Linked DNA regions of Stegostoma tigrinum. The protein of the gene in region 2 purifies or fractionates together with the protein of the main gene of each other region. This does not show direct contact. Links are inferred from orthologs where the notes say so. Each region holds a gene or a part of one and is shown on either strand. Other genes may lie near its edges. The genes, in order: NAD-dependent protein deacetylase sirtuin-3-like and hspd1.

Region 1 (16,383 bases), on a different chromosome or scaffold from region 2:
AATCATGATGGTTAACACCATGTTGTATAAAGCAGCCAACTTGAACTGGATCCATCTATGCTGTTCATTCATTCACTCCTATCGCCACTATGAACAGTGGCAACTGTTTGTATCAGCCACAAGATGCACTGCAGAAACTCACCATCATTCCTTTACTAGCACTTATCAAACCTATGACACTACCACCCAGAAGGACAGGTCAGCAGGAATATAGGAACACCATCGGCTACAAGCTCCCCACAAAGTCACACAGCATCCTGAATTAGAAGGATTTCATTTTCCTTCACTGTCCTGGGTCAAAGTTGTGGCACTCCCACCCTAACAGTATCTATATGGATCCCATTCTCCAAAGACTGCAGCTGTTCAACAAAGCAGATCAGCACCACCTTCACAAAGACCAGCAGGGATAAAGAGGTGAGAAAATTTGAATCCAGCTGATGTAGATCACACTTGGAATGTATTTGGGAGGTGTTCAGAGCTAATCGGAAAGCAAGTGATTCTTTGACTGTAGAAGACACTGTACACAGACTGACAGCCAAGCACTGAATTATTCCTAAAGGAGAACCAAAAGAACTGCAGGTGCTGTAAATCAGGAACAAAAACAAAGTTGCTGGAAAAGCTCAGCAGGTCTGGCAGCATCTGTGGAGGAGAAAACAGAGTTAACATTTCAGGCTTGGTGACCCTTCCTCAGGCATTCTGAGGAAGGGTCACCAGACACGAAACGTTAACTATCTTCTCCTCCACAGATGCTGCCAGACCTACTGAGCTTTTCCAGCAACTTTGTTTTTATTCCTCGAGGAGGTCAGGATCAGTCTCTGGGGTGGATGGAGCAAAGGTGAATTGGGGTCAGTGTACATGATGAGGATCTGGATCAGCATCCGGGGGGATTGTGGTCAGTGTTCAGAGGAGACTGAAGTCAGTGTTCTGGGTTATCTAATAGTTTTGCTTCAGTAATGTTTCATTGTCTGAAGTCACTTACCCTCAGCTGTTCCCAGGAGAAGTTCTCCATGCACACAGTACACGTCGCTGTAGCAAATGTTCCATGAGCTTCCACCAATTTCTCCATTGGGATTCCAGCCACTGAAATGCAGCGGGAGAGAGAAGGCAGTCACTGAGGGATGAAAAGATGCACCGCTGATGTCCTCACCCTTCCTGGGTTCCAAAGTTTCAGACTCTTCTCAGGATCCATCAACAAACCACCTGCACTGTTAGAATAGGTGACTACTAAACTGTGGGGGGCATCTCAATCAACTTCCTGTTCTCAATGTCTATACAGAGAGATTCTGTGGGCAGTGCTCAGCATAGGATTTTAGACAGTGGTCACTTGATTCAAAAGGAAGACTGAAAAGGGATCTGGATATATTCAAAGGATTTTAAAACTATCAAGACATTGGGAAAAGTGCGGGATAGACTGAATTGCTCTTTCAGTCATCACGAGCTCAATGTTTCAACAGCCCTCATTCTGTGCTGTAGCATTCTATAATTTACTGATTATAATTTATTATGGGGAATATTATAATTCACTGACTGTAAGTTAATTCGATAAATTCTGTAACTTAATGGCTATAATTCAATATGATGAATTCTATAATACACCGTTTATAATTTAATATGGTGAATATCATAATTAACTTACTACAATTCAGTATGGTGAATTTTATAATTCACTTACTATAATTCAATATGGTGACTTCTGTAATTCAGTGACTATAATTCATTGTCTTTAATTCACTACACTTTTACAACTCACCAGAAGCCCAGCACACTAATAATAGTCACAATTCACATGGCAAAGAAAGTGGTCATTCAGCCCATTCAATAAATGCCAGCTCCCTCCAAAACAATGCAGTCAATCTAATTCTCCCATAGCACTGGACATTTCCTTCCCTCAACTGCCTGTTCAATTCCTTTCTGAAATAATTTATTTTTAAAGTTGCTTTGTATACAATAGCTCCAGCGAAGTCACAAGTCTGTGTTCACTTGTGTTCCAGACATCTATTGCAGAAATGTGGGCAACATTTGGCCACATGTGGGCATCATTGTAACGCGGGTACCCATATCTGAAAATTAGAACAGAGCAAGCGGAAGATGCCATTCAGTCTGTAAACAAAGGAATTCAGCCTCTGAACCTCTGATACAAGAAAACAGCGGGAGCAGATCATTTAGCTCCTCGAGTCTGCTAAACATTAACAGGGAAGGCCGTTCTGTTCCTTCAGTTTGTTTCGTAGTAACACAAGGAAGCCATTCATTCCCTTAAACAGTTACATTGAATCAGAGAAGGCCACGCAGCCCTCCAGGTTGCTCTGGAATTCTATCAGACGAAGGCTGATTTATTCTTCTTCTGTACTTACCCCCGCATCATTCCTTGCCAGCCCATTGCTCAAAATTAGTCTTGAAAGTTCTAACTGAATCAAGTATCCACTGGCATTTGAATGGCAGTTCCACATTTCAACACCCTTTGAAAACCATCCTTGCTGATTTCATTTCTAACTCCATGAGCTCTATTTTATTATTTTTCCAACACTTAAACCTACTTACTGCGTTCCAGGCCGTCAATGTTCTGAGTGTACATTCGTAGCAGTAACTTTTTATGGTGTAAAAGTCTGACAAAGTAGTGTGTGTAGTTAGGTTTGCAGTTTCCAGGGTACAGCTGCTTGGCCAGAGCAAAGAAAGGCTTTGGATTGTGGGAAAAGTAGTTGATTTCAAAGATGGCTTCTGGGTATGGGATGTCATATTCTTGTAGGTTGTCATAGAGTCCACTGCCTGGTGACCTGAATATGTAACAATGGAAATGAAAACTAAAACAGTTAGTATCAATTTCTAGGATGATTCCAACTTGCCACTTCATCCATTTTGTGAGAACATCACAGCAACAGATCAGAACACAATGATCTTGAACAAACATTTCCACAACTCAGGAGAAAGCCAATCATTTGTTGCTGTTCTTTCTGACCTGGAGATGAAAGGGGAGAAAGCAAGATGACAACAATTGATTCACATTGAGCGCTGAATTTTTACATAAACCAAATCCCTGCAGAGGTACCCGAACAAGTCAGTCATGTGTTGATGGCCCTGAGTTCATTTCGGAAATATGTGTTTCAGTCTCCCTGGGTTAGAAGCTCGGTGCTTTCTCACAAGGGTGAACTTATCAGGAGAACCTGTAGACACCAACACAGAAAAAAACACTCGATCAACACTGGGCCAAAGTCCATTTAAACTACAGAGATTGCAGGACAGGCAGTTACCCAGAAAGAGTTACCAGAGAGAGTGGAGTTGGCAAGATAAGGATGTGACAAGATATGCTGGTGCTGATTGCCACATACAGAAGGCTGGAGCCGCTATACGCGTGCAGCTTCGAGGAAACATTGATCAATTCCCTCACCTACTGAGCTTGGGTAGGAATATGTCATTGAACAAGAGGATTTCTCCAGAAACAGTGCGAGGAATAACCTCATTCTAGCAAGCACAGATTATCTGAAGCAAAAACAAAATTGCTGGAGAAACTCAGCAGATCGGGCAACACCTATGAACAGAAAGCAGAGTTAACATTTCAAGTCCGGTGATCTTTGTTCAGAACTGACAGCAGCTAGGAAAAGGTGGTATTTATTCTGACCACAGTGGGGAGGGGAGGAGGAGGAGTGAGTGGGTAGGTGGGCCCTAGTTATGCCTGTCTCTGTGTGTCCGTGGAACATTCTTTGTTCTAGTCCTGCTTGGGTCATTCCCCAGAACTCTTTCTCTGGTAAATTGATGACATCATTGGTGCTGCTTCCTTCTCGCATTTAGAATTGGGAAAATTTATCAATTTTACTTCCAATTTCCACAATGCTCTCACCTTCATCTGATCCATCTCTGACTGCCCCCTTCCCTGCCTCGACTGTCTGTTTACATTTCTGGGGGTAGGCTGGCACCAATATCCACTAAAAGTCAAGCAGCTCCCACCATTACCTGGAGGTTACATCCTCACTCCCTATCTCCTGTAAGGACTCCATCACATTCTCCCAGTTTCTCCATCCCCATTGCATCTGTTCTGATGATGCCACCTTCTGCAGAAATTCCCACCTTTTCCTCTACATAGGATTCGCCAACACTGTGATTAACAGGGCCCTTAGTTGTGTCTGATCCAGTTCCTGCACTTCGGCCCTCAGCCCTTCCCTTCCCTTCCCTTCCACAATAGTGATAAGATCACCCTGGTCCTCAGTTACCACCCACCTACACGTGTATACCAAGTATCATAAGGTGCCATTTCCACTACCTCCAGCCACATGCTACCACCAGACATCTATTCTCCTTCCTCCCCTTGTCAGTATTTCACAGGAACTATTCCCTCCAGGACACCATGGTCAACTCCTTCCCCACTCCCAAGTGCACCCCACACTCCCACTGCAATTTCCCATACAATCGCAGAAGGTGTAACAGTCATCCATTTACCTCTTCCCTCCTCACTATCCAAGGCCCTAGTCATACCTTCCAGGTGACGCCATGATTTACCTGCACTTCACTCAATCTATTTTGCTGTATTCACTGTGCACAATGTGATCCCGTCTACACGGGGGAGACAAAACGCAGGCTGGGTGACCTCTTCGCAGATCACCCACTTTATGTCCATAAAAATGGCCCCAAGCTTCCAGTTGCCTGCCACTTCATGTGCTCACCGGGCAATATTTCTGACTTCTGCAGTGTTCCAGCAAGGATCAGCGCAAGCAGGAAGAACAGCGCCTCGTCTTACATTCAGGGACTATGTAGCCTTCGATATCATATTCAACAAATTTACAGCCTGAACTCTACCTTCCATGTCCTTTAGCCAAACCCACACCATATACTCGTTAATGCTGCTTTCGCCTACTCATGGACACTGTTATCAGCTTTTTCTCCTTTCCTGGCTTACTACGAACTATGTGCTTGTCTGCCTAACTTTATTTGTGTCTCTCTGGACTCTCTGTGCTCCTCACCCACCCTAATCACCCCATTATCAGCATAAATACCACCTTTTCCGAGCTACTATCACTCCTGAAGAAGAGTCACTGGGCTCAAAATGTTAACTCTTGCTTTGTCTCCACTGATGCTGCCAGATCCGCCGAGCTTCTCAAAGAATTTCTGATTTTGTTTCGGATCTTTACCATTGGCAGCTCTTTGGTTTTACTTTACAAATTACTTGATTCTGACTATAATGGCTCTTTCGAAGCTTCGTACAATTCAAGTATTTGATTTAGAAATACCTCTGAAACTGTCTAATTTTGTTCCATATTATGCTCCCATCACATCAAAAATACTGAGCAATTAATAAGCCATTTAATTTGATAAATAGATATTACTGGATTAACTAGCACTAATAATTAACAATAACATAAGGACATCTGTGAAAAATTAACTTGGTTCAGAAAGTCGGGAAACAGAATCAGATTGGGTGGATTAGGACTGGTAAGAGTTAAAAAGTGCTGACAGTTTATAGGCCCTTTAACTGTAGATATACACTGAATGAAGAATTAAACAAGAAATTATTGGCATTTGTAATAGTTGTGGAGTATGTTTATCTTCATATTGATTGGACTAATTAAATTGGAAAAGATTGTCTGCAAGATGTTTTCATGGCCGTTTCCGCAGCAATATGTTGTGGAACCAACAAGGGATAAATCTAAATTAAATTTAGCATTGTGCAATGAAGCAAGGTTAACTGCAAATGTTATTGTAAAAGGCCAAGTGGGAAATATTGATCATAACACAACTGAATATCACTTTGACATACTTCAAATACAAATAAAAAATATTTAACCGAAATCTTGTTTTCATTAGGAGATACTGCTGCAGCCTCAGTCCTGAGCCTTGTTTCCTGCAACATGTAAAGACTCTTTTAAACAGATTCTATAGACTGTTTATCATACATGTAGCCCTACTATTAACCAACTGGGTAACACTGAGCTTCCAATTAACACTGAAAACTCAACTATCAGACTGGAAACCATGGATTTATATTCCTGCTTTTGGAACACAGGAATAGAAAGGACCAATGAGCCCTTGAGTCAACTCTGACATTCAATTCATGCCTGATCAGTATCTTAACTCCATCTACTTGCACTGGTTCTATAATCCTCAATACCTAACAAAAATCTATCAGTTGCAGCCTTGAAATTTTCAATTGATCCCCAGCCTTAAAAACTGTTGGGAGTTAAGATTCTATGTAAAGTATCATTCCTTCTACATGAGAGGGGAAACAAACGTGCTTCTCTGGATAACAGCACAGTGCAGTCCATTACTCATTGTTATAGTCCTCAGATTAATCACATCGATAGTCTGTTGCACAGTAACATTACTGGTTGATTGTCATTGCTGTTGGTGGTCAGTTATGAGATTCCTAATGCCAGGGTTGGGATACCTGAAATCAGGGATTCCGCTGGGTGTACTGATTCCTGCACCAGACATCACCACAATCCTATGACACTCCCTGTTCCGAATGAGCCTTGCGATGTCCTTAAGTGACTGCACTCTCTCACCACTTCCTTTCCCACTGAAGATGTACCGGACAAAAGATGAGGTTGATGAACGATTCACACAGCGGATTCTGTAACAATATATAAAACACCCACAGAATGGACTAGAATCCATCCTGAATAATTTTAGGTTTGAGTTCTACATGCATCCTTGCTCTCCGCGAGTATCTAATGCAATCCCAGACAGCACAGGACCACGTTCCAAAACTGATCAAACTCTAGAAGTCTGAAACAGATTAGAATAGTCAATTCAATGTCAAATCAACTTCACCCTGCTTCAACATTTCCATATTGTTTGAATGCTGAGCCTCACAGTGACATACAGGTGAAATGAAACTTCTGAAGGAGCAGAACAGTTTAAATACCAGCTTCCTGATTTCCGTACTTAATGCTTGTGAGATCACTGTTAACTTGTTAACATCATCATTACTTTAAACACAATATTTGATCTATCAATTTCAGGGAGTGTAAATACAACTCATTTATGTATGCTTTGTACCTTGAGCCCTTGCTGTGTGCCTGTCTGCAAATATTGAGTCCAGTCAGGATTCCAGTTTGGAAATTTCTGATGCAGCTATGATTAAACTGTAACCATCGAGTAGCAAAGAAACCAGGCTGGGTCCAGGTGAGACTCTGATACAATGCAAAACTCATGTTTCCAACTGAAATAAGGACAGAAAACAATTCAATTATCATGTATCACATGTGGCTCAATGATTCTTTTTGTTTTTGCCTCTGATTTAGAGGTCATGGAGTCAAGCACCACTCCAAAGCCTAAAGTACATGGTGATACTCACTATGCAGCATTGAGGCAGCACTACACTGCAGTCGTGAGGGAGTGCTGGACTGCAGAGGTGCAGTAGAGGGAACACTGCACTGTAGAAGCACCAAAGGAGGAGCACTGTATTATGGGAGAAGCAGTGCTGAGGGACCACTGCACTAAAGGAGGATCAGGATTGAGGGAGCAGTGTACTGTGGGTGGAGCAGAAGTGAGAGTGCTCTGTACTGTGAGAAGAGAAGAATTGAGGCATGCTGTATTATAGGAGAGGCAGGTCTGAGGGAACACTATGAAAGAACCCTGTACTGTGAAAGTAGTGGTACTGAAGGAGCACTGTATTATAGGAGAAGCAGTACTGAAGGAGCGTGACACTGTAGGGGGAGCAGTACTCGGGGAGCACGACTGACGGAGCACTACACTGTGGGGAGAGCAGTACTGAGGGAGCACTGTGCTATGGGAGGAGCAGGATCAAGGGAACGCTGTATTGTGTGAGAAGTATTACTGCCAGCCTGTTGTATTGTAAGACAGGCAGTACTGAGGGAGCAGAGATAATGGCAACTGCAGATGCTGGAGAATCCGAGATAACAAAGTATGGAGCTGGATGAACGCAGCAGGCCAAGCAGCATCTTAGGAGCACAAAAGCTGACGTTTCAGGCCTAGACCCTTCATCAGAAAAGGGGGATGGGCAGAGGATTCTGAAATAAATAGGGATAGAGGGGGAGGCGGACCAAAGATGGATAGAGGAGAAAATAGGTGGAGAGAAGAGTATGGGTGGGGAGGGGATAGGTCAGTCTGGGGAGGACAGACAGATCAAGGGGGCAGGATGAGGTTGGTAGATAGGAAATGGAGGTGCGGCTTGAGGTAGGAGAGGTGGGATAGGTAAGAGGAAGAACAGGTTAGGGAGGCGGGGACGAGCTGGGCTGGTTTTGGGATGCAGTGGGGGGAGGGGAGATTTTGAAGCTGGTGAAATCCACATTGATACTGTTGGGCTGCAGGGTTCCCAAGCGGAATATGAGTTGCTGTTCCTGCAATCTTCGGGTGACATCATTGTGGCACTGCAGGAGGCCCATGATGGACATGTCATCTAAGGAATGGGAGGGCGAGTTAAAATGGTTTGCGACGGGGAGGTGCAGTTGTTTATTGTGAACCGAGCGGAGGTGTTCTGCAAAGCGGACCCCAAGCCTCCGCTTGGTTTCCCCAATGTAGAGGATGCCACAACGGGTACAGTGGATACAGTATACCACACTGGCAGATGTGCAGGTGAACCTCTGCTTAATATGGAAAGTCTTCTTGAGGCCTGGGATGGGGGTGAGGGAGGAGGTGTGGGGGCAAGTGTAGCATTTCCTGCAGTTGCAGGGGAAAGTGCCGGGTGTGGTGGGTTTGGAGGGGAGTGTGGAGTGAACAAGGGAGTTGCGGAGAGAGTGGTCTCTCAGGAAGGCAGACAAGGGTGGCGTTGGAAAAATGTCTTTAGTGGTGGGGTCGGATTGTAGATGGCGGAAGTGTCGGAGGATGACGCGTTGTATCCGGAGGTTGGAGCGCTGCGCTACAGGGGGACACAGTTCTGAGGAAGCGCTGCACTGCAAATGGAGCAGTACTGTAGAAGAAGCAGCGGAGCATTGTACTTTTGAGGGAGCCAAACCGAGGGATCAGGATCAATACATATAGGTGCACAGAAGCTTCTGTGGGATATATGCTGGGCGTCCAGTAATCAAACATATATTCTCGACATGCAGAGCGCAGTGCAGGTATATAGCAATCAGTATAAATGTATAGCAGATGTACAGTGTTGTGTGTGAATCTACGCTGAATGGGCAATGCTCAGTATACTTATATATCGATGTGGGGTGCTTGGTGTGGGTACATTCATTATGGGTATATATCAAGCATAGGCCTGTGTCCAATGCACAACATTTCCTGAACCCATACAATACGATGTGGGTATATACTGAGTATACAGAGCTTGGTGTGAATAGATCCCAGGTGAACAGAAAGATGTGGGTATGTATACAAACATATAAAATGGCACAAGTGGGCCATTTACACTTTCACCTGCTTTACCAATCAACATGCTTATGGCTGGTTTTTTTGTGTTTTGAATTCCACAATAACAACTACCTCTGAAAACCTGTGATTGCCTTAAAGAGTCTATCTACCTCCACCTTAAAAATAGATCAATAACCCTGCTTCCACTGCCTTCTCAGACACACAGTTCTAAAATCATTCAATCCTCTGAGAGAAAACATATCCTATTTCTACCTTAAAAGGGCACTGACTAATTTGAAAACAACATTCCCTGTTTCTCAAACTAACCCTCAAGAAGAAGCATCCATTCTGTGTCCAAGTTAATAAAATGTGAGGCTGGATGAACACAGCAGGCCCAGCAGCATCCCAGGAGCACGCATTGTGTGTCCATCTTGGTTAGACCATTCATGATCTTCCACACTTCCATCAAGGCACCCCTCACTTTTCTAAACTCAAGTGCAAACATGGCCAGTCTGTCCAACATATCCTCATTAGATTTTCTGACTGATAATCTAACCAGTCACTCATCTTTTACTGTATTTGTTCGTGTTATGTGGGCTTCCAAGGCTAAGCCAGAATTTATTGCCCATCCCCAATTGCACAGAGGGCAGCTGAGGGTTAGCCATTTTGTCATGGTGAGATTTGAATCCATGTCTCGAGAGCGTTAATTAGCCTGTGGTTCTGGATTACTAACACAATGACATTACTGCTATGCAAGTGCCTCCTAAAAATGGAATGTCACCTTTTGTTATAAAGAATTAGATTAAAGAAATAAAGATATTGTAATATAACAATTTATGGTCTTTATGAAATAGTAATGTGTGTCTTTTACCCAGGGAAGGAAATACTTATCCCATTGGGAGTGCAATGTAGGGTTCACTTGGTTAATTTTTGGGATGACAAGATGTCCTCTGAGGAGACATTTGAGTATACCAGGCCTATATTTCCTGAAGTTTGAAAAGACGCCTGGTGATCTAATTCAAAATCAATAAAATTCTTAAAGGGACTTGTGGTCACAGTCTATGAATAGGAGCCTAATTATTATGGGCCCAGGAGAGATGGTTTCTCACATATGGTTGTGACTCATTTGGAATTATTTCTCCCAGAAATCTTTCGATGCTTCATCATCGCGTATACATTTCAAGACAGAAATTGATAGATTTTGAATACCAAGGGAAGGGATTTACAGGATGTTGCTGGGATTGGAGGCTGAACAGGCTGATGTTATTTTCCCTGGAGCGTTGGAGGCTGAGGGGTGACCTTATTGAGGTGTATAAAATCATGAGGGACATGTACAGGATGAATATCCAAGGTCTTTTTCCCAGGGTAGGGTTTAAGGTGAGACGGGAAAGATTTAAAAGGGCCTGAGGGGCAATATTTAATGTAGGTGGCGACGTGTGCATGGAACGGCTGCCAGAGGAGGCGGTGGAGGTGGTACAATTATAACATTTAAGAGGCATTTGGATGGCTATGTGAATAGGAAGAGGTCAGAGGGATATGGACCACCTGCTGGCAAATGGGCCTAAATCAGTTTAGGATATCTTGTCGGTATGAACAACTTGGACAAAGGGTTTGTGTCCTTGCTGTACAACGTTATGACTTAAGGGATATAGGAGAAGGGTAGAAAAGTGAAATTGAGATAGGAATCAGTCACCTACTGAATGGTAAATCAGGTTCTTGAGGGCAAATGAGAGCACTCTCTGCTCCAATTCTCAGTGTAGAGGGTATTGCTGATTGTTACCTCTTGCTATGTGCTGCCTCTGGGTGGTAGCTGGACTCTGATGTGAAGAATATTCCCTGTCTGAACAAGAGCTGCTCTCACCTGATGCCTCTCTGATGAAATGTCTTCAAATACCGTAACTTTCCAACAAGCAGCCCCTTCAGAAACAAACTGGGCCAGTCCATATGACACCGCGAGTAGTAGAATTAGCAAAGGAGGATCCAGCAGTTAAAGGTTAATCTTCCTGACACTACTGCAAAACAGGGAGAGAGAAAAAAAACAAGAATAAAACTTTATTTCCATTTTCTTTGAGCATCTTTGCATTTGGTTACAAAACATCAGAGAAGGGAATATGCGCCCCAAGTGACTGAATGGGGCAGCTTGAAGTGGCAAGTATGAAACCTCGGGGTATTGTCTTTTGATTTGTGTCTATCTGATGGGTGCCAAATAAAGCAAATTATATTCAAGATATTTTTGAAATTGTCGCTATTTTGACAGTTTGTAAATACAGTAAAAAGGCAAGTCTGTCTTTATGATACACAGACGGGTGCCTAGAAAAACTCAGCAAGCCATGCAGGATCTGGAGAAAAGGAACAGTCAACATTTCGAGTATTACTCTTCTTCAGGACTGTCTTTAGGCTTCTGGTAAGTTTTCACTTCGGGTACAATAAAGTATCACTTTCCAAAGGGGTTGATGATTAATTTACTTTCACAGGAATATGGAGAAAGACTGTTGGGCCATTTGTACAGATCAGCCAGGAGGCAGATAGGCTGAAGTCTGTAATGAAAATCTAGGATTGAGTATAAAACGTATTGAGTGTCGGACGGTCTGAGACACAACAGGGGAATGAATTCAATCTGACCCAGAGACCAGTTCCCAAATCCTGGGTTGACAAGGTGTCGAGCTGGATGAACACAGTAGGCCAAGCAGCGTCAGAGGAGCGGGAAGGCTGATGTTTCAGGCCTAGACCCTCCTTCAGAAATGAAGAAGAGTCTCGGCTCGAAACGTCAGCCTTCCTGTTCTTCTGATGCTGCCATGTTGACTGTGTTCATCCAGCTCGACACCTTGTTATCTCAGATTCTCCAGTATCTGCAGTTCCTACTATCCCCAAATCCTGGGTGATGGATTGGAAGGAATGGAGCCTGGTCAAGGGGAGGTAGACCGAGATTACAGAGTTGGAAGAACACAAAATCAGGAACTGTGTTCCTCCAGCATCTCCAGTTCATGCTATCTCTTACACAGAGACAGTAACCGTGTTACCTCTGTCTCTTACACGGAGTTGTTTGTTCAAGAACTGATTCCGTTAAAAAAATGTCAAACTACTGGGAGAGAAGGGACAGGACAATGTGCTCAGTACTGGGGGGAGATGGGGGACAGTGTACCCAATAATGGGGTGGGGGATGGGGGACAGTGTACCCGGTAATGGGGGTCAGTGTACCCGGTAATGGGGGGGGGAGAGATGGGGGTCACTGTACCCGGTAATGGGGGGGGGAGAGATGGGGGTCAGTGTACCTGGTAACGGGGGCGGGGGGAAATGGGGGACAGTGTACCTGGTAATGGGGGGGAATGGGGAGAGATGGGGGATAGTGTACCCGGTAACGGGGGTGGGGGGATGGGGGACATTGTACCCGGTGGCGGGTGATGAAGGTGGTTGAGTTCTGCGGTGCCCCATATTGCGGTATTTACAGTACCGGAAGTTGTAGTGATCGGTTCCGGTTGGAGCCGTGCGGCCTTGACGCAGCCAGAAGCCGAGCCTGCGGTTTACAGAGGCAGCCGGCACCATGAGGGATGTGAGCGGGTTCCTCCAACAGCAGCAGATCGGGGCCGGAGAGCTCGGCCCTGACTGGCAGCAAATGGAGGAGCTTTACAACAAAAAGTGAGTGAGAGCCTCTCTGCCCCGTTACAGCGAAACCCCGATTCCTGGGCTGGCCCCCGCTGAGTCACTGCCCAGGCCCTTCTCTCTGAACCCTCTGTGTCTGTCTGTCTCAGGCCTTGCCGGTCCCGACATTGTACTCTTTTTGGGGGTTTCGGGTAAAGGAGGCGGGATAAAGTGGGCTGGGACAAGCGGGAGATAATGGGAACTGCAGATGCTGGAGAATCCGAGATAACAAAGTGTGGAGCTGGATGAACACAGCAGGCCAAGCAGCATCTCAGGAGGACAAAAGCTGAGGTTTCGGGCCTGGACCCTTTTAACCTCATTGCGAAGCCTCTTCCAAGGATGCCTAACCTGAAGAAGTTACCCTCCGGACAAACCTCGGGGATCTCTCTCCCACTGCACCTCCTTCCACCTATCTTCTTTCCTCTCCATCTTCGGTCCGCCTCCCCCTCTCTCCCTATTTATTCCAGAACCCTCTCCCCATCCTCGTCTCTGATGAAGGGTCTAGGCCCGAAACGTCAGCTTTTGTGCCCCTGAGATGCTGCTGGGCCTGCTGTGTTCATCCAGCTCCACGCTTTGTTATCTGGGACAAGCGGGAAGTGAGGATCTCTGTGTTAGGATGAGGATACTGGAACTAGCAGTTTTCAACAATGAGCCATCTGTATCTGTTGTTGATTTCCTCTGGATGGTGCTAATGGCTCCTGATGCCTCCACGCTGTAACCCTGACTTGTTTTAAATGCAGACTGTGGCACCAGTTGACTGTCCGACTCCAGAACTTTGTTCAAAATCCCTGCTTCGCCACAGGTGATGGTCTGATCAAGGTGGGTGATTTAACCTCAACATTCCCTTCAACATACTAATTTTAGTTGGCTTCTTTCATCATATAATAAAACTTTTATTTTGCAGCTGTATGAGAATTTTATTAGTGAATTTGAACACAGGTAAGAAATACTTCTTTAAAAATTACACCTAAAAGTATATTATACTGAAAATTAACAGCATGGAAGATGCTATTCAGGCCATCTTTTCTATTAAATTTGAGCTAGTGCAATTCCATATTAATCTCTGTCTGCTGGTACCTCTTCCATAATTCCCCTGGTTCAAGAACTTATCACCTTCTTTTCCCAGTGACATAAGAGACTTGGATGTGACTTACAGAATGAAACCACTTGTTCATAGACTGCATGTCTGCTCTGGAATAGATCACAGATCTCTGTAGAGCAAGCTGCTTAATTCTTCATCTTTCTCCCTGAAGCCCTGAAAGTTTATTTCTCTTAAATGCTCATCTGAATTTGTTTTCTTGCAATTGTTAATTGTCCCCATTTCTGCTACTTTAAGAGACAGTGAATTCCAGACCCTTTTTTTAACCACTTTGTGTGTTCTTTCATGGCAAAATCATACCCCTGTTTCACCTGTCTCCGAGAGTCATAAATCTGTGCTGCATTGTTGATATAACATAACGGGAAGAGATTTCCATTGTGCAATCTTAGGTAAAATAGACAATGTAATAGACCTCTACTAAATCTCCACTAAATTTACTTTGCTCTAAGGAGTAAAAAACACAGAACAATTTCTTATTTCTCGGCAAATTTTGGTAAATAGCTTCTGCAGCCTTTCAGTAGCTCCTTAGTTCCTAAAGCCTGGTGACCAGAATTAGATGCAATACTACAGCTGTGACCGAAAAAGTTCTATAAAGATTCAGCATAACTTCTTGCTTTTGAACTTAATACCTCTGATTATGGGAATTAGGATTGCTTATGCCTTCCAAATTAATTTTCCCAAAAGCCCTGCTACCTTAAAAGATCAATATGCACGAATTCCTAGCTCCTCCTCTATTTAAACATTTAAACAATGTGCTAAAAAGCCTACATTGCCACTACCTATCTGTTATTCCAAAATTATTCCTTGTTTTTTCTGCATTAATTTTCACATGCCACTTGTCTGCTGGTTCTGATAGTTTGGCAAAGTGCTGTCACAGGTGATATGTTCATCCTCACTTTGCCACAACTCAGTTTGGCATCAATTGGAAAATTTTCAAATTTTAGTCCATGTTCCACAATTAAAGTCATACATATGTATCAAAAAAAAGTAGTCCCATGCATGACTCCAGGGGAAAACCACTTTCCTCTGCCAGTCTGAAAAACGAATGACTTGCTGTTTTCTGTCCTGGAGCCCAATTTTTTGTCACTGATCCTTATAGAAAGAGTTGACATCTTCGAAAGAGGACTTCATGGGTTTCTGCAGTGCATTTTATATCTGGTATGCACTGCTGTTACTGTGCCAGTTTTGGAGGGAGTGAATATTTGAGGTGTTGAATTATTATCTGGTAAGTGGGGAGATGAATTGCATTCTTGATTTGTGCCTTCTATTATAGGGAACAGCTTTTGGCAAGTCAGGAGTTGTTATTTGCTGCAGAATTCCCAGTCTCTGATATGCTGTTATAGACACGGTATTTGTATTGTTGGTTTCATTCAATTTCTGACCAGTAAAAACACCTAGCGTGTTGATGTTGACATAATGTGATTCAGTGATAATTACAATTGAGTGTCATGAGGAAATAATTAGATTCTCTCTTGTTGGCTTTGGTAATTATCTGGTACTTGGTACTTTTCAGTCCAAGTCTGAATGTAATCCGTGTTTTCTAGCATATGGTCAAGGACTATTTAAATATCCAATTGAGGCCCCAATCAATTTGCAGTGATCAGCCAAAAATCCTTACATCAAATGTTATGATGGAGTGAAGGTCATTGAAGTAACTGAAGGTGATTAGACCAAGGACATTACCCTGAGAAACTCCTACGGTGATGTCCTGCCGTGGAAATAATTGACTTCCAACAGTCACAATCATCTTCCTTTGTACTAGATAAAATTGCAACTGAGGGAGAAGTTTCCTTGGATTCCCGTTGTCAAATTTTGCTGGTGCTTCTTGATGTCACACCAGGTCAAATGTCACCTTGATGTCTAGGGCAGTTACCCACCTCGCTTCTGACATGCAGCTCATTTGTTCATTTTGGGGCAAGATTATAATGATGTGAGCTGACTGGCCCAAATTGCTGAATTCTAAACTAAATGTCAGTGAATGGGTTATTGCTGTTTAGATATTTTCTAATTAACCTGTTCAGAGCTGGGTATATGAATAGGAAGCGTTTAGAGGAATATGGGCCAAATGCTGGCAAATGGGACTAGATTAATTTAGAATATGTGGTCAGCATGGATGAGTTGGATTAAGGTTCTTTTTCTGTGCTGTATGACTATAATGTGCTGGGCTTCTCAAACGCTGGCAATATTTACGGAGCCGCTTTCTCCTGTTAGTTTCTTAATTGTTCACATTTATGCTGTGATATAGTGGGAATGCAGACCCTTAATCTGTTCTCTTGTGGGATTGCTTAGCTCAATTGCTGGCTGTTACTGCTATTTAACAAAACGTAACTACAGATTGGTACTGTTGGGTATGCCTGGAGCTACCCCTGAACTTCTCATTGTACTGGAATTGAACCCCC
Region 2 (16,586 bases):
CATATTTAGCTGTACTATCTTCCTGTTCCTAACCTCACTGGCATGTGGCACAGTAAGTAATTCTGAGGTTACAACCTAGAGGTCATGCTTTTCAACTTCCTATCCAACTCCCTGAATTCCTTTTGCAGGACCTCATCTCTGCACCTGTTTTTGCTACCAATATGGACCACAGCCTTTGGCTGCTCACCCTTCCCCTTCAGAATTTCCTGTGCCCACTCAGAAACATCTTTGACCCAGGCACTGGGGAGCAACTCACCATCCTAAAATCCCGCAACCACAGAAATGTCTACTGTGCACTTGACTCTAGAGTCCCTATCATTACTGCTTGCTGAGACTTCAACTCTCCCTGCTGTACAACTGTACCAGTTGTGGTGCCACTGATAATGGGAACTGCAGATGCTGGAGAATCCAAGATAATAAAGTGTGAAGCTGGATGAACACAGCAGGCCAAGCAGCATCCCAGGAGCACAAAAGCTGACTTTTCGGGCCTAGACCCTTCATCAGAGAGGGGGATGCGGAGAGGGTTCTGGAATAAATAGGGAGAGAGGGGGAGGTGGACCGAAGATGGAGAGAAAAGAAGATAGGTGGAGAGGTAGTGAGGGGATAGGTCAGTCCAGGGAAGACGGACAGGTCAAGGAGGTGGATTGAGGTTAGTAGGTAGGAGATGGAGGTGCGGCTCGGGGTGGGAGGAAGGGATGGGTGAGAGGAAGAACAGGTTAGGGAGGCAGAGACAGGCTGGGCTGGTTTTGGGATGCAGTGGGGGGAGGGGACAAACTGGGCTGGTTTTGGGATGCGGTGGGGGAAGGGGAGATTTTGAAGCTGGGGAAGTCCACATTGATACCATTGGGCTGCAGGGTTCCCAAGCGGAATATGAGTTGCTGTTCCTGCAACCTTCGGGTGGCATCATTGTGGCACTATAGGAGGTCCATGATGGACATGTCATCTAAAGAATGGGAGGGGGAGTTAAAATGGTTCACGACTGGGAGGTGCAGTTGTTTATTGCGAACCGAGTGGAGGTGTTCTGCAAAGCGGTCCCCAAGCCTCCGCTTGGTTTCCCCAATGTAGAAGAAGCCACACTGGGTACAATGGATACAGTATACCACATTGGCAGATGTGCAGGTGAACCTCTACTTAATATGGAAAGTCATCTTGGGGCCTGGGATAGGGGTGAGGGAGGAGGTGTGGAGGCAAGTGTGGCATTTCCTGCAGTTGCAGGGGAAGGTGCCGGGTGTGGTTCCCCCCACAGTGGTCGAGAACGCCCTTGACCGTGTCTCCCGCATTTCCCGCAACACATCCCTCACACACCGCCCCCACCACAACCGCCCCAAGAGGATCCCCTTCGTTCCCACACACCACCCCACCAACCTCCGGATACAACGCATCATCCTCCGACACTTCCGCCATCTACAATCCGAGCCCACCACCCAAGACATTTTTCCATCCCCACCCCTGTCTGCTTTCCGGAGAGACCACTCTCTCCGTGACTTCCTTGTTCGCTCCACACTGCCCTCCAACCCCACCACACCCAGCACCTTCCCCTGCAACCACAGGAAATGCCACACTTGCCCCCACACCTCCTCCCTCACCCCTATCCCAGGCCCCAAGATGACTTTCCATAATAAGCAGAGGTTCACCTGCACATCTGCCAATGTGGTATACTGTATCCATTGTACCCGGTGTGGCCTCCTCTACATTGGGGAAACCAAGCGGAGGCTTGGGGACCGCTTTGCAGAACACCTCTGCTCAGTTCGCAATAAACAACTGCACCTGCCAGTCGCGAACCATTTCAACTCCCCCTCCCATTCTTTAGATGACATGTCCATCATGGGCCTCCTACAGTGCCACAATGATGCCACCCGAAGGTTGCAGGAACAGCAACTCATATTCCGCTTGGGAACCCTGCAGCCCAATGGTATCAATGTGGACTTCACCAGCTTCAAAATCTCCCCTTCCCCCACTGCAATTCAAAACCAGCCCAGTTCGTCCCCTCCCCCCACTGCACCACACAACCAGCCCAGCTCTTCCCCTTCCCCCACCGCATCCCAAAACCAGCCCAGTTCGTCCCCTCCCCCCACTGCATCACACAACCAGCCCAGCTCTTCCCCTCCCCCCACTGCATCCCAAAACCAGCCCAGCCCGTCTCTGCCTCCCTAACCTGTTCTTCCTCTCACCCATCCCTTCCTCCCACCCCAAGCCGCACCTCCATTTCCTACCTACTAACCTCATCCCACCTCCTTGACCTGTTCGTCTTCCCTGGACTGACCTATCCCCTCCCTACCTCCCCACCTATACTCTCCTCTCCACCTATCTTCTTTTCTCTCCATCTTCGGTCCGCCTCCCCCTCTCTCCCTATTTATTTCAGAACCCTCACCCCATCCCCCTCTCTGATGAAGGGTCTAGGCCCGAAACATCAGCTTTTGTGCTCCTGAGATGCTGCTTGGCCTGCTGTGTTCATCCAGCTTCACACTTTATTATCGTGGTGCCACTGATCTGGCTGCTATTGCTGCTTTCATCTGAAAGGCCATCCCTCCCCCTCCCCAACCTCTAACAGTATCCAAAACAGTTTACCTGTTTGAGCAGGGGCTCCTACAGTGTCTGCCCATGCTTACTTGTCTTCCTGGTGGTCACCCAACTCTTCTCTGTCTGTCTAGCCCTTACAGATGATGTGACCAACTTGCTAAATGTGCTATCCATGACATTCTCAGCCTCATGGATGCTCCATTGTGAATCCATCCTCAGCTCTAGCCTCTCCATGCAAATCAGGAGCTGCAGATGAACACATTTCCTGAACATGTGGTCACCATGGACACCGGATGTGACCCTGATTTCTCACATACTGCAAGAGGAGCATTCCATGGGCCTGAGTTCTCCTGCCATTTTGAGCCTTACCAACTAAAATCAACCTTATCAACTATAGCAACAGTCCAGAAACTGATTACACAACCTAATCCAATAGTCACCAAACTCAGGTCTTTCACTCCTAACAGACTACAACTACAAAAAGTAAGTCCTCATCTCATTAAGATTCTGCTTGTCCCTGAGCAGCCAAGCCTACGTCACTTTTTGAGTCATGATATCGGCTCCAGAGTTCCACCCCTAGATTCAGCTCCATGTTTACTCTGATGACTGGCACAGTGTGAAAGAGGTAGTTTGCCCCATTAAGTGTGCACCAATCCACAGACAGATTCCCCCCCCAGACCCAGCCTTCCATCCTATTCCTGTATTTACCATGGCCAATCCATCTAACATGCACGTTTTTTGGACTGTGGGAGGAAATCGGATCACTGAGCAGAAGCAGGGAGAACGTGCAAACTCCACACACACTGTCAGCCAAAGCTGGAATTAAACCTGGTGCTGTGAGGCAGCAGTACTGACTGCTGAGCCACCTTGCCACTCACAGCACTAGGTTCTCTCTTTCAAGTCATGCTTCAGCAAGACATAGCCAGTTTATCTTTTCAATCAATGTAGCAAAAGTCAATGGGAAATCATGTTCTTTCAAATTCTGGAAAATTGCAGCAACTCTTATCAGTCTGTGACGTCAAAGTCCCACAAGAGCCAAGTAGCAGATTACACAAAATTTGTAAAATGAAGTAAATAGCTAAAAGCTTGTAATAAACTTTGAGAAAGCTTTGAAAAGTTGCTGCAAGGTGGATACTGTGGCATGTTTGTGCACTGGTCTTTGAAGGTGGCAGACCAGATTAACAAAGCAGATATAAATAGAGGCCAAAAGCCAGGAAGTTATATGTAAAATTTGTATCAAACAATTATTTAGAATATTGGGCAGAATTTGCTCATCTTAAATTAGTGTTTAGTTAAGATTCAAGGTTTAAAGCAACTTTTCTTGCCAAAAATTGTAAATGCCACCATCAGACCATTTATTACCTTTGGAATTGTGCCCTGTACCCCTAAATCCAAGTATTAGAAGTTCAAGTGATCGTACTACTGAGTGGCATAAGAGGATATGCAGGAACTATTCTAGCCATTGTCATAATCTTTCCTCATGGTCAAATTATTCAATTAGTGCTATAAAACAACAGAAGTAGAAATTGTATAAAGATCTAACTACTTATTTGTCTGTGCAAATTACTCACGTGTTCTTCAGATCTGAAATTTCAGTTGATCTGCATAAATTCATGATAAACTCAGTTCAAGGATTTAACTTCACAGTGACATATGATCTCCAAGCCAAGGGGGAGAAAAGTCACATTTTCATTATCAGTACTATAACATATCACTCTTAGCACAATACAGTTACTACCTTACATTGTAAGGTCAATACCACTTGAATAAATCAAATATGCAGTTGAGTAATCCCAATTATAGAACCACTAAACTGTGACACTTCCCTTTCACCCCCACTTCATCTCTGGCCAAAAGCTTTATATTCACATTAATCTATTTATATCGGTGGGGCAGCGTGGTGGCTCAGTGTTAGCACTGCTGTCTCACAGCGCCAGGGAGCCGAGTTTGTCTCCAGCCTCAGGTGACTCTCTGTGTGGAGTTTGCACATTCTCCTTGTGTCTGTGTGGGTTTCCTCCCACAGTCCAAAGATGTAAGTGAATTGGCTATGCTCAATTGCCCATAGTGCCCAAGGATGTTTAGGTTAGGTGGGTTAGACATGGGAAATGTAGGAGAATTGATCTGCGTGGGATGCTCTTCGGAGGGGCAGTGTGAGGTCATTGGGCCAAATGACCTGTTGCCACACTGTAAGGATTCTATGATTCTATGAAGTATCAGTTTAAGAATATTAGCAACAACGAAGGAGTATGTTAACGGCAGTTTGGACTGAAATTACAAGTAACTGTAGTTAAGGCATAAACTTGATTGACTAGATTCAAAAACACAAATTGCATTCATGAACCAACTCTCATGACTTCAGATAACAGAAGATTTGGAAGAGATGAACAGTATGCAGTGACAGCAATATAATATCAGCTATGATAGACGCAGGAGAAGGATATAGTGTGGTCAGCAGTCCATACCGTAGAGAAGGTAAACTCAGAGAGAACATGAGGACACAGGAAAGAAAGATGCTGATTCAGACAATGAACATAGGTAACCTTGATTTGGTTGCTAAAGGCAGGGACAGATAGCCAGATAGTGACAAAGTCCATGCGCACTCACACTTGTCCATCTAAACTTATGTTCTCTCTCCTCTGATATTTACTGCCCTTTTATTGTCAGTCCTTCCATGTGACACTCTAACCCAGTTTGATGGTCACGCCCTTGACCTTGTCATTTTCATGCTGTCCTACTAGTCCTATCATATCAATTGCAGATAGGCTATCTCTGATCTCTTGCTTGCACCACTCACCATTCACATTCCCTCCATACCTCAAAACCAACTTCCTTCCATATCTGTCTCTAGAAAAATCTATCCTGCAATTTTACTTACAGCTGCAATTTCAAAATCTGAAACATCAAGCCTTTAGCTCTCTATTAACATTTCTGCAACTACTGATTTACTCAACTGCACCCTCATCTCCACCTTGGTGTCCTAGTCACTGTTAAACCATATGCCCTTCCACTGTGGCTGGTTCCTCAAAATGAACCACATCTCCAACTCCAAGGAACACAACTAAAACAGCAGATAACTGCTTTAGCCATCACTGCCAAATCTGATTGAATCACTAGTGGTCCTGCTGTTGCCAGTTAAACTTTGTCACTATTCCTGGATCATACTGAGAAGCCAGATTTCAGCTTCTTTTCTGTACTGCAGACTGTATTTCTAAGCCCTTCTTCCTGTTCACTCCTATCTTCGCTTTGAATGAGAATTATAATACTCTTGTCACAGATGACACAATCTAACCAGCTTGTTCTGCAATGTTTTCCACTTCCATTTCCACTAGCCCACCTGACTAAATTCCTTAAATGTTTCCCTGTGCCCGAGCACTGCACTCTCATTTTTCTATTTTCTGCCATTATCTCCTAAAGCCTTCAACTGAATTCATTTTGTCCATGAGATCTACCTTCTGGTCAAACTGATTACCCCTGCTGGCACCCACATCTGCTAATATTATGAATATCAGTTCTCTCTTTCTTCAGGTGTTGTTCTTTCCTCCTTTAAGTCTGCTTTAAATTACTCTGACTTCAAAAAAAAACTTGCCAACTATCAATTCATCTCCAACCTGCTTTCCTTTCTGAAGTCCTCGAAGACCAAATTCATTCCAAATTTTTTGATTGCTCCAATTAGGTTTCCACTCCTTCTGCAACCTCTGACATTACCATCCTCCAACATCTCTGCACTGTTACTCAGCAGATTGAAACTGTTCTCTAATGATTCTATTCTTATCTAAACATAACCAGAGAATCATTCAAAATGGAAAACCGAAAGAACTGTGAATGCTGGAGTCAGAAGCAAGACCTGAAATTGCTGGAAAAATTCACCTGGTCTGGCATCTTTGTAGAGAAAGCAGAGTTAACTCTTGAGTCCAGTGACCCTTCTTCAGAAATGAAACAAGTTCTGAAGGAGGATCACTGGATCCCTGGAACTGAAATGTTAACTGCTTTCTCTTCACTGATGCTGCCAGGCTTGCCTTGTTTTTTCCCGCAATTTCTGGTTTTGCTTATCATTTGGAATGGCTTCTCTTCCTGCTCCAACAACATTATCTCTCATTTTTTCTAGGATCGATCTTTGACAATGCCTTCCCATTTCTCGTCTACATGCTGCTTTTTTCAACATCAGTTAAAGACAATGCAATTTTTTTTACATGTAGCCTGATAACACCCAGTTCTATTAGCACACTTCAATCGTTGCCTTATTATCAGACTCATTATTTATCATCCATTCATGAAAGAAGAGTTACAGAGTGACAGGACCTAATGCAAATTTAGACATACGTAGCAAAGAGACAGCAGTGATGTCATTGGACAAGTAATCCAGACTCTCCAAGTTAATCTTCTGGGAAACATGGGTTAAAATCCCACCATGGCAGTGGTGAAATTTGAATTCACAAAGGGCTGTTACGGTAGCACCGTCTCTGGTCCAACATAGCTGGCTTCTCGTCCCATCTGCCCCAGTCACATCATGAACATGTCCAAAAAGGTCAAGTAAATTAAGTACACCTCTCCACTTCTCTACCTCACTTGCCTTTTTTGAGACACTCCTCAAAGCCTCCCACTTTGATCAATTGTTCATTTAATTTCATGTAGCTCTGTGTCCTGTTTTTCTTAAAATAATGCACTGTCCCAACACCTTTAATGTTTCATTACATTAAAAAGGGCTCCAGATATTGTTTCAGGTATAGCTTTAAGAAAGCTGTTGATGAATAAACAACTATATATCCTTGTTTTTCCAGGATGATCCTGGTGTATGGAGCAATTTTAGTAGAAGTGAGCAAGATCCAATAATGTTTCATATGATTACATCTAGCCTGACTGTGAATGGCCAAACCAGTTGTGCACCACATGTACTAAATACCCCTTGAACTGAAGTAAAGCTGGGGCTAAATAACCAGAGAGAAAGGACATTATGGAGGTGAAAATAATCAATCAACAGGGGAGGCGACAGAGCAAGTGCACAGATCAAAAGATGAAGTAGCGCGGCTAACAGAAGGCCAATGAGCAGCTGAAAATAGCATTTTAATTGGAGTTTCTTCCAGGTTATACCTGGAAGGAACTGAGGGTAGGAGAGAGCTGAGAGCAATTAGAAAAAGCAGCAAACAGATGTTGTCATATATATTAAATGATGGAAACAGGTCACAAGACAACACAAAGGACTGCCTTTAAACAGAATTATAGGAAGAGGAGGAGAAAAAGCAGTGAGATTGTGATTGTTGGTGTTTTCAATGAGGCAAAGCTGAAGGATGTAAAGAATGAGCATCTTATAATTAGGGTAGTCTTGGACGGACAGTACAGAATGAGGATTTTAAAAATGAGCAACGATAAAGAAAATTCCTCACTTAGAATGTATTGAAATACTTGTGTGTTTCATGCAAAATGAACTAGTACTTCTGCAGATCACTGTAGTCATATTGACAGTCTTAGATGCATTTTCCAGATGTCCATGGCACATTTACCAAGTGATTTTACTGCCACCCTTTCAAAAGTTGGAGTTTTCAAAGTGAAATGAATCACTTCTGAAACAAGTTGACTAGTTTAGATTCATAATTTTATGTTTATTATTGGAAAATTCAACTAGCAATGAGATCAATCACAGTAAAACAGAAACTTGTGTGTTTGACATTGAATTTATTGTACCAAAGCTGGAAAAAGTGGTATTTACAGACTAAGACAAAAAGACAGCAACTTCATGGAATGGCCAGTTTCTTAAAACTGAAAGAAACATCCAACATTCATGCTGTGTATTTTCCAAGAATATCTCCATCTCTAAACAAGTAGTAATCCTGAGGAAGAAAATAAAAATCATCAAGGAGAAAGAAATCAATTTCTAAATACAGTCAAAAGAACTACTAAGACAATAGTACCAACCTTATCATCCAAGACAACTTTAGTCCCTCCATATTCTGGGAGTAGAACTGTTTCACCAACTTTTACATTAACGGGGTGAATATCACCATTCTGAAATGAAAATGCAAATGATCCACAAATTAATGTTTGTGAACAGTGCTCTAGCCAAAGTTTATAATGCACCGTACAGAAATTTGCACTTTTTGCTTATCTGTGAATTTGCAGCAAGTTACAAGTAGTAGTACTTGTAACTTGCTGCAAATTCACAGATAAGCTTTCTAATTATACCTAAGAGAAATTATACCTAAACTTAATAAAACAAAACAGCAGGCCACTTTGGAACACAGTATAAAAATATAATCTATTGGATCAGACTTTGTTAATGTAATAATCACAAGCATTTAGTTGATTAGGATTTTGTTTTCAGAAAACTACCTTTACTCGGCTGCCAGGTCCAACTGCTACAACTGTTGCTTGAAGTACTTTACCCTGGGATTTTTCTGGAAGCATGATGCCACCTTTTGTTACCTTCTCTGCTGCCACCCTTTCCACCAAAACACGGTCAAAAAGGGGCAGAAACTTTTTAAATGCCTGTCCTGCCTGTTAAAATAAAACGTTTCAGTTACCTATTAACCAACAGGTTACAGACCACATATTGAAAGCTTTACCACTTCTGAGATCTACAAATAAAAAGGTCAACCCAAAATGAATCTTGAGAGAAAAAGTGATAGCTGAATTTTTTTGTTATAAAGAACTAGATAACCTGTCCTTAGACTGTTAGCTTAGTTTTCACAGCTATTATGAATATATATAAAATAAACTCCTAAATGTAACATCATTAGAAATAAAAAACCATGATCCAAATGCTGAAAATGTAACATATTACCTTAAGAAGGGCGTAAAACAGCAGCTGAAGATATTAATATGGAAAAAAATTATTTCTCAACATAAATGTTGAGGACATTTAAAAATCAAGCTCATTTGACCTTGAAACTGTCCCCAACATCAAATCTAAAATCGTTAAATAAGTTGCACGTAACAGATCATCATTTTTATCCAAATGTCGGTGTGGTTACATAGTAACAAACGTAGTTCTTCAATCCATTACTTTTGTTACAAACTGATCTGTAGTAGCGAGACAGGTCACAAGCACATTTGTCCTTTCATTCATCAGGATTGTAACCAGTCGGTGGCCTGGCGAATCATTTCCCTGCTAGAGTAGGAATATTTCAAAAGGATCATATTCCCTGTTTGAACTGAGCTATCAAACACGATAAATTATTTTGTATCCAGCACATGCTCAACTGGATTTAAAACAACGCAACTTACCATTTCAACATCAGGAAGTCACAAAAATACTTATCAAGAACAATACGTAAATCGGTTTATTCTTCTCATTCAGTATATCACAAACAAAAACGTAAGCTTACCATGCCTGCTACCACTTCCAGAAAGCACTAGAAATAAGACACCTCCCTGCAGCAGCAATTATGGCAGTCTCTCCACGTGAGGAAATACCTTCGAACCCGAAGACATGACCTCGAACGTCAGAGGAATGTTACATTTCAGAGGCATTTTCTAAACTGAAATCCACACCTGAGCAAAACTTTGGCAGCATTTTACACTCATAAACACCCAAAGTAAATTTTGTTGCAATTTTAGAGAAGAAATCAAGAAATAAAATTATTGCGCAATAGAACTGTGCACTTTGACCCAACCTACGTTAAGCGTCTGGAAGTTTCTGGAACTCGAACCCCTGAAGCTGTATATGAACTGCTTCGCGTGCCTGCTTTTAGTTACAAGTTGGTACTAAATCCTATGAGTCTGGTGCTGGGATATCCATTGGTGGTAGTGAGTAGGTGGCTATTTGCTTGTCGAAATGTTTTGGCAGCTGTGTACCTGGAAGTGTTGGTGGTGTTAGAGTATCCAGAGTAAGGGGCGGGCGGAGACTTCTCCCCGCTGCAAACCCACGTGTTCTCCGAGTGAGACTTGGGCTCAGTCCTGGCGGTTGTGTAGTTTGCGTAGCTGTGGAATTTGGTTGAAGCTAGGGCTATTACTGTCTTGTTTACTACTTGTTTTTCTAAATAAACATTTTAGTAAGTGGTATTATGCAGAAATCGGTTTGGTTCGTATATTTTTGAAAAATTTTGCAAGCTACAGGCGTTTCCTTCTATGCCAATGGATTGAGACAATGAATGAAGACGAGGAATCAGAGTTCCAATGCTGGATGTTAGACAGACTAGCAGTTACATGTTATCTTTACAGACCTGAAGTCTCTCTTAGTCTAATTTGAGGCATATTAGTTACTTTTGTTTTGCATTCCTCGTTATTTTGCGGATTGTTGAAGTACTTTAATTTGACCTTGTGACGTGTGTCCCCTAGCGACGTGTGGGGAGGCCCATGTTACTGACACCATACGCTTTTAAAAAATTTAACGTGTAGTTAAAAGGTTGATCGGTATTATTTCTCTTCTCCACTGCAGATAATGCTCCGTTTGCCAACCGTTCTACGCCAGGTAAGGCCTGTAACTCGTCTACTTGCACCTCATCATGCACGAGCTTACGCCAAAGATGTAAAATTCGGATCCGAAGCTCGGGCTATGATGCTGAAAGGAGTTGATCTTCTCGCCGATGCAGTGGCTGTAACCATGGGACCAAAGGTGGGTCAGCGTCTACTGTGGGCTTAGAACTCAATATGCAGTTTGATATTATGGAAACATTCCAAAATATTTATGCTCCTCAAAACTAGAATAAGTACTCATTGCGTTAGATAATGCCGACATCAATAGAAATAGTAAAACTGTTGATGATGCAGGATTGGCTTTGGACATGTACTTTATCTTTTTTGACAAAAACAGTTAGGATTATTAATACTTAATAGTAGAATGGCCACAGTTATTTGAGAACCTTCAAAAATATTCATAGCCACAATTTGAAGCTGCAACATTGTCATAATCTTCAGTATACCACATTAGCATGAGCTGCCCATCACAAGACAGGTGGATAGTGATTTATATTTTGATAACAATAACTGAGGCTGCAACTGGGACTTGATGCAGTGAATTTTGAGTCTGCTGTTTGGTGACGTGCATGAAAAATTCATGTCTGAACCAAGCCACCAAGAACGATGTATGCCAAATTTAAAAATTTATCAAGAGATATTAAATTAATTGAGCAATGGACAAACTTTCCTCATTCTTTGAGAAAAAGGAACTCTCATTTTTTTGCAGATCTAACCCTAACTTTGTCATCAAGCCTGCCGATAAGGGTGGCGCTGTTGTCTGGTGTACTGACCTCTGCCTTGCAGAAACTGAGCACCAGCTCTCCAATACCACCACTTAACTTCCCCTGGACCATGACCCTACCATGGCGCATCAGGCCGTTGTATCCACTGTGGTTACGGATCTCATTTCATCTGGTGATCTCTCTTCTCTTCTCTTCTCCCCCCCCCCCCCCCAAATCAGCTCCAAAGCTAATAGTCCCCCAAACCCGCACAGCTGATTTCTACCTGCTGTCAGAAATCCACAAATGGGACTGTTCAGATAGACCCATTGTTTCAGCCTGCTCATGCCCCACGGAACTCATCTCTTCCTACCTTGACTCAGCTCCCCTTGTTAGTCACCTAACAGTCCCCATTAACAACTATTCGCCCTCCCAGCCTGATTGCTAGCAACTCCTTTGTCTGTCAACTGTCTTTCTCTCTCTTCGGGCTCTATCCTATCATTTACTCCTATCCACCCACCTCCCTATTTTCTGCATATAAACTGATGTTTTCTCAGCCATCATCAGTTCTGAGGAAGGGTCCTTGGACTCGGAACGTTAACTCTGTTTTCTCCTCCACAGATGCTGCTAGACCTGCTGAGCTTTTCCAGCAACTTTGTTTTTGTCTGTTTTTTTCTTTGCAGTTAGTTTTCCTTTAGAATAAAATCCAGAAAAATGGTGTGTATGTCCCATAGCATGGATCTTCTTATTAGAAGCTTGATTTGAGCTCTTAAACAAAAACTAAATTAGTGTCAGTTTTAATTACCCTTAAATGTTTATACATTCTTGAAAAAAGTCACTACCTCTGTTCAAGCCCCTGAGAAAAATGAATTGTGATGAATTGATTTTTATATTGTGGTCCCAGCACATCAAGTAATGCTTGCTATGTTAACTTGTAACACTGAAGAAACCACTAGTTTCTGCAAAGTCATTCTTTGGTTTTCTTTCAGCTAGAAACTAGAATTTCACTCTTAAAAATACAAATTCCTCATTCCACATCTTCTAAAAGGCAACTGCAATAGGAGTCTGAGATTGCATGTCACAGTACTGTTCTAATAAACTATTAGCATTCGTCACTCTACCTGCTTGAAAAATTCACTGTCAACGTTGCTCTCACTTGTTTCATTATTAACCATAATACAAAGTCTAATCAATTTCTTACAAAGGATTAACTTAATTGAGATAACAAGGTGTGGAGCTGGATGAACTCAGCAGTCCAGGCAGCTTCAGAGGAGCAGAAAGCTGATGTTTTGAGTCTGGACCCTTCTTCAGAAATTGGAGAGGGGAAGGGGGCTCTGAAATAAACAGAAAGAGGGGATGATGATAGAAAGTGGATAGTGGATCACTTAGGTGGGAGAGAAGATGGACAGGTCAAGGAGGCAGGGATGAGGGGGGTGCTGTTCTTAGGACGTGGTCGGGAGTGGGGAGATTTTGAAGCTGAAAGTCCACGTTGAGACCATTGAGTTGGAGGGTTTCAAGGTGGAATATAAGGTTGTTGTTTTTCCAGTTTCTGGGTGGCATCGTTGTGATGCAGGAGGAGGCCCAGGATAGGCGTGTCTTCCAGAGAGTGGGAGGGGGTATTGAAGTGGTTCGCGACTGGAAGGTGTTATTTGTTGCGAACCGATCGTAGGTGCTCCACACAAGTCTCCAAGCCTCTGCTTGGTCTCGCCTATGTAACGAGAGGCCACATCGAGAACCGTGAATCCAATAGACCACATTAGTGGATCTGCAGGTGAACATCTGTTTAATGTGGAGGGATTTTTGGGCCCTGGGATGGGGGTGTAGGGGCATGTGGTAGCGCTTCCTATGGTTGCAGGGAGAGGTGGTGGGGCTAGTGGTGAGTGTGGAGTGGACGATGGAGTCGCAGAGGGAGTGGTCACTCCGGAAGACAGATAAGAGTGGGGAAGGAAGTCTATCCTTCATAGTGGGGTCAGATTGCAGGTGGCAGAGAATGATCTGTTGAATCTGGAGGTTAGTGGGGTGATATGTGAGGATAAGGGGAATACTATCTTTGTCTCTATCGGAGGGGGGGTAAGGACTGAGGTGAGGGAAAGACTAGAAATGTGGTCGAGGGCATTTTCAACCACTTTTGGTTGGGGGGGTGTGGTGATAGCAGTGCTTGAAAAACGAGGACATCTGGGATGTTTGGGAGTGGAACGCCTCATTTTGGAGAGGTGGAGGCGGAGGAATTGGGTATAGGGGATTGCATTCTTGCAGGAAGGTAGGTGAGAGGAGTTATAATCTAGGTAGTTGTGGGAGTCAGTGGGCTTGAAATGGATATTGGTTTCAAGGTGATTACCAGAGATGGAGACAGAGGGGTCCAGGCAGGAGAGAGATGTATCAGAGATGGTCCAGGTGAACTTAAGGTTGTGGTGAAAGGTGTTAGTAAAGTTGATGAACTGTTTGCACTCCTTGTAGGAGCATGGGTTGGCACTGATACAGTCATCGATGTAATTGTGGAAGAGGTGGGGCTTGGTGCCAGTGTAGCTGCAGGAGAGGGATTGATCCATGTATCCTACAAAGAGGCAGGCACAGCTTGGGCCCCTGCAGTTACCCATGGCCACTCCTTTCGTCTGTAGGAAGTGGAAGGAGTCAAAGTTGTTAAGGGTAAGGACAAGTTCAGTTAGGCAGATAAGGGTGTCGGTGGAGGGAGACTGGTTGGGCCTGTGAGAGAGGACGAAGCGGAGGGCCTTTAGGCCCTCTGCATGGGGAATGCGAGTGTACAGGGATTAGATGTCCATGGTGAAGATGAAGTATTAGAGGCCAGGGAATCTGAAATTTTGGAGGAGGTGGAGAGCATTGGTGGCATCCCAGACGTAAGTAGGGGGGGGTTCCTGGACCGGGGTTGGGGGGGGGGGTGCGGTGAGAATAGTCATGATAAATTTGGGGCAGGAGCAGGGGAAGGCAATGGGTCGGCCAGGGCAGTCGGATTAATTGAGATTTTCTGTCGTCTAGTTGTATACCCATTAAGATGGTATCTACTATGCTCATTAGTTTTGGTGCACCTTCATTATACTAGCCTTTAGAAGGTCCGTATGGATTTACTGTACACTAAAATAGTCCTTCATTGGTAGTAGCATGCAATAATTCTTGTAAACATTTGATGCCAGCCAAGTCAGTGAAAAGGTGATTTAGGATCCTAACCAGCCTTTGACCATTCCATTTGCCATAATATTTCTCCTTTCTGATTTATTGATTTATTCAATTGCACACTCAAACTCTTTCATATGTTACTGTCTAAAGTAGAATGTTTGTTTTTATTAAAGTTATTGATTCTGTTCAGTTTTTAAATTGCATGTTGAATTGATTCTGGAAGTGTAAATTTGTGTGCATTCCAGTCTCCAATTAATCTCTAGCTCTCATCCAGGCTTTTCCCTGGATAAGACCTGCCACCACAAGATCTGGCTGGATAAAAACTGTTAACTGCTATAGTGAACACTTATCATTTTCATCGTAGAATACAAAGATAACATCCTGTGCCTTTTCTCTTGCACACCACTTGCATCTGTCTTTCCCCTGTCTCCATCTCTCATCCGAGTGTGAGAAGTTTGTGGACTTCTTTACCAATAAGATTGGCAGAACTTCATCAGCTGCTTTTGTCATGTCCCTTCCCTCAGTTGGCTGGATGTTAATTTGCATTGCAGAGTGCCAACAGTATGTGTTCAATTCTTCAATGGCCAAGGTTAGCACGAAGGACTCATCAATTTCTCCCCTTGCCTGAGGCATTGTGACCCTTGGGTTAAACTCTTCAGTCATCCCTGTCTGTCATGAGAGCAGCCCTGTGATCTAGTTAAGATTATGGTGATTTTACCTTGACATCTGATAAACGTCCTTCCATGTTTCCTCTGTCCTAGCCCTGAGTGGTTTTTCCAGTTGCCCTGTTTGTTTATGACATTTTGTAAATGAGACCTATCTTCTTTATAATCTGAATCCTATTTCTAAAAACTGATCTCCGACTTTTCTCTCCAGGCCTCTGATATTAGCTAATATTGTAATATTTTCCTTTGAGTATTGTCCTCTGAAATCACTCTCTCACCCTTCGACATCACCACCTTTTGTAAAATACTGCTGTATCTCTTGGTTACAATTGCTTGACCAGTGGTTGTGCCTTGTTACCTCAGTCCCCAAAATCATGAATTCTCTTCCTCAACCCCTCTGCTTCTCTACTTCACTTTCCACCTTTTTAGGATTATTATTAAAACCTATATTTTCAATTGAGCCTTTGGACATCTGACATAATATCTCCTTCTGTGGCTCATCTTTGTTTGGCAACATGCCTGTGAAATGCCTTAAAAATATTTAATTTACCTTGAAGACAAATCACTTGTCACCTCTCATGTTAATCGCTTTTTCATCTGACCATGACCAATGAGATTGCCTTGAGCAGCTAACCTTTTTTTTAAGGTGAGTTTATAGTCCAATCTCATTGGGTTTTTTAAAATGGCCAGGGTATCCCGAGCTATGATGGGTTTCAGCACCATGTTTATCTGAAAGCATTCCATTACTTAGAAACTAGTGTGTTCGTAAGGGGCTTTATTGATTGTATAGAGATCAGACTTTTGTTTCCGGAGTGAGTGCGTACTTTTCTCCACAATTGCTTTCAACCAGTTAGTGATTTGCTCATTGGGAAGCATGCACTTCAAAGTTGCTTCTGGTTAAGACCTGCTCATTTTTGCAAGGCCTGGGAAGGCTGAAGGTGTCTGAAACCTTACAGTGCAACTGCAGATGTTGCTGCCTCTATGGTATTAGGACAACAAAATAAGGATAAATTCAAGTATGTGTATAACAAACAGCAATGTCTCAATGTTTGTTTTTATCTAGGGTCGAACAGTTATTCTAGAACAGAGTTGGGGGAGTCCTAAAGTGACAAAAGATGGAGTAACAGTAGCTAAAGCAATAGATTTGAAAGATAAGTAC

The links.
Region 1: the proteins of hspd1 (region 2) and NAD-dependent protein deacetylase sirtuin-3-like purify together in Homo sapiens (affinity purification with mass spectrometry; 3 studies listed by BioGRID and IntAct, counting the BioPlex papers as one, with this or other methods). This does not show direct contact. The link is inferred for Stegostoma tigrinum from reciprocal best matches to the Homo sapiens genes HSPD1 and SIRT3.

What each region holds. Positions count from the first base shown.
Region 1 is NC_081370.1:34,913,244-34,929,626, reverse strand, and holds the start of NAD-dependent protein deacetylase sirtuin-3-like, read right to left. Parts: upstream 7,308-16,383; 5' UTR 7,293-7,307; coding exon 7,283-7,292; intron 7,148-7,282; coding exon 6,985-7,147; intron 6,557-6,984; coding exon 6,371-6,556; exon of another isoform or gene 3,061-6,370; coding exon of another isoform or gene 3,044-3,060; intron 2,772-3,043; coding exon 2,539-2,771; intron 1,081-2,538; coding exon 980-1,080; intron 1-979. Other genes in the region: psmd13 (26S proteasome non-ATPase regulatory subunit 13), read left to right, coding at 12,788-12,882, 13,626-13,704, 13,790-13,824.
Region 2 is NC_081360.1:31,734,072-31,750,657, forward strand, and holds the start of hspd1 (60 kDa heat shock protein, mitochondrial), read left to right. Parts: upstream 1-10,381; 5' UTR 10,382-10,505; intron 10,506-10,891; 5' UTR 10,892-10,894; coding exon 10,895-11,068; intron 11,069-16,490; coding exon 16,491-16,586. Other genes in the region: hspe1 (10 kDa heat shock protein, mitochondrial), read right to left, coding at 8,295-8,345, 8,431-8,520, 8,845-9,009, 9,840-9,842. UniProt on the Homo sapiens protein: Chaperonin implicated in mitochondrial protein import and macromolecular assembly. Together with Hsp10, facilitates the correct folding of imported proteins.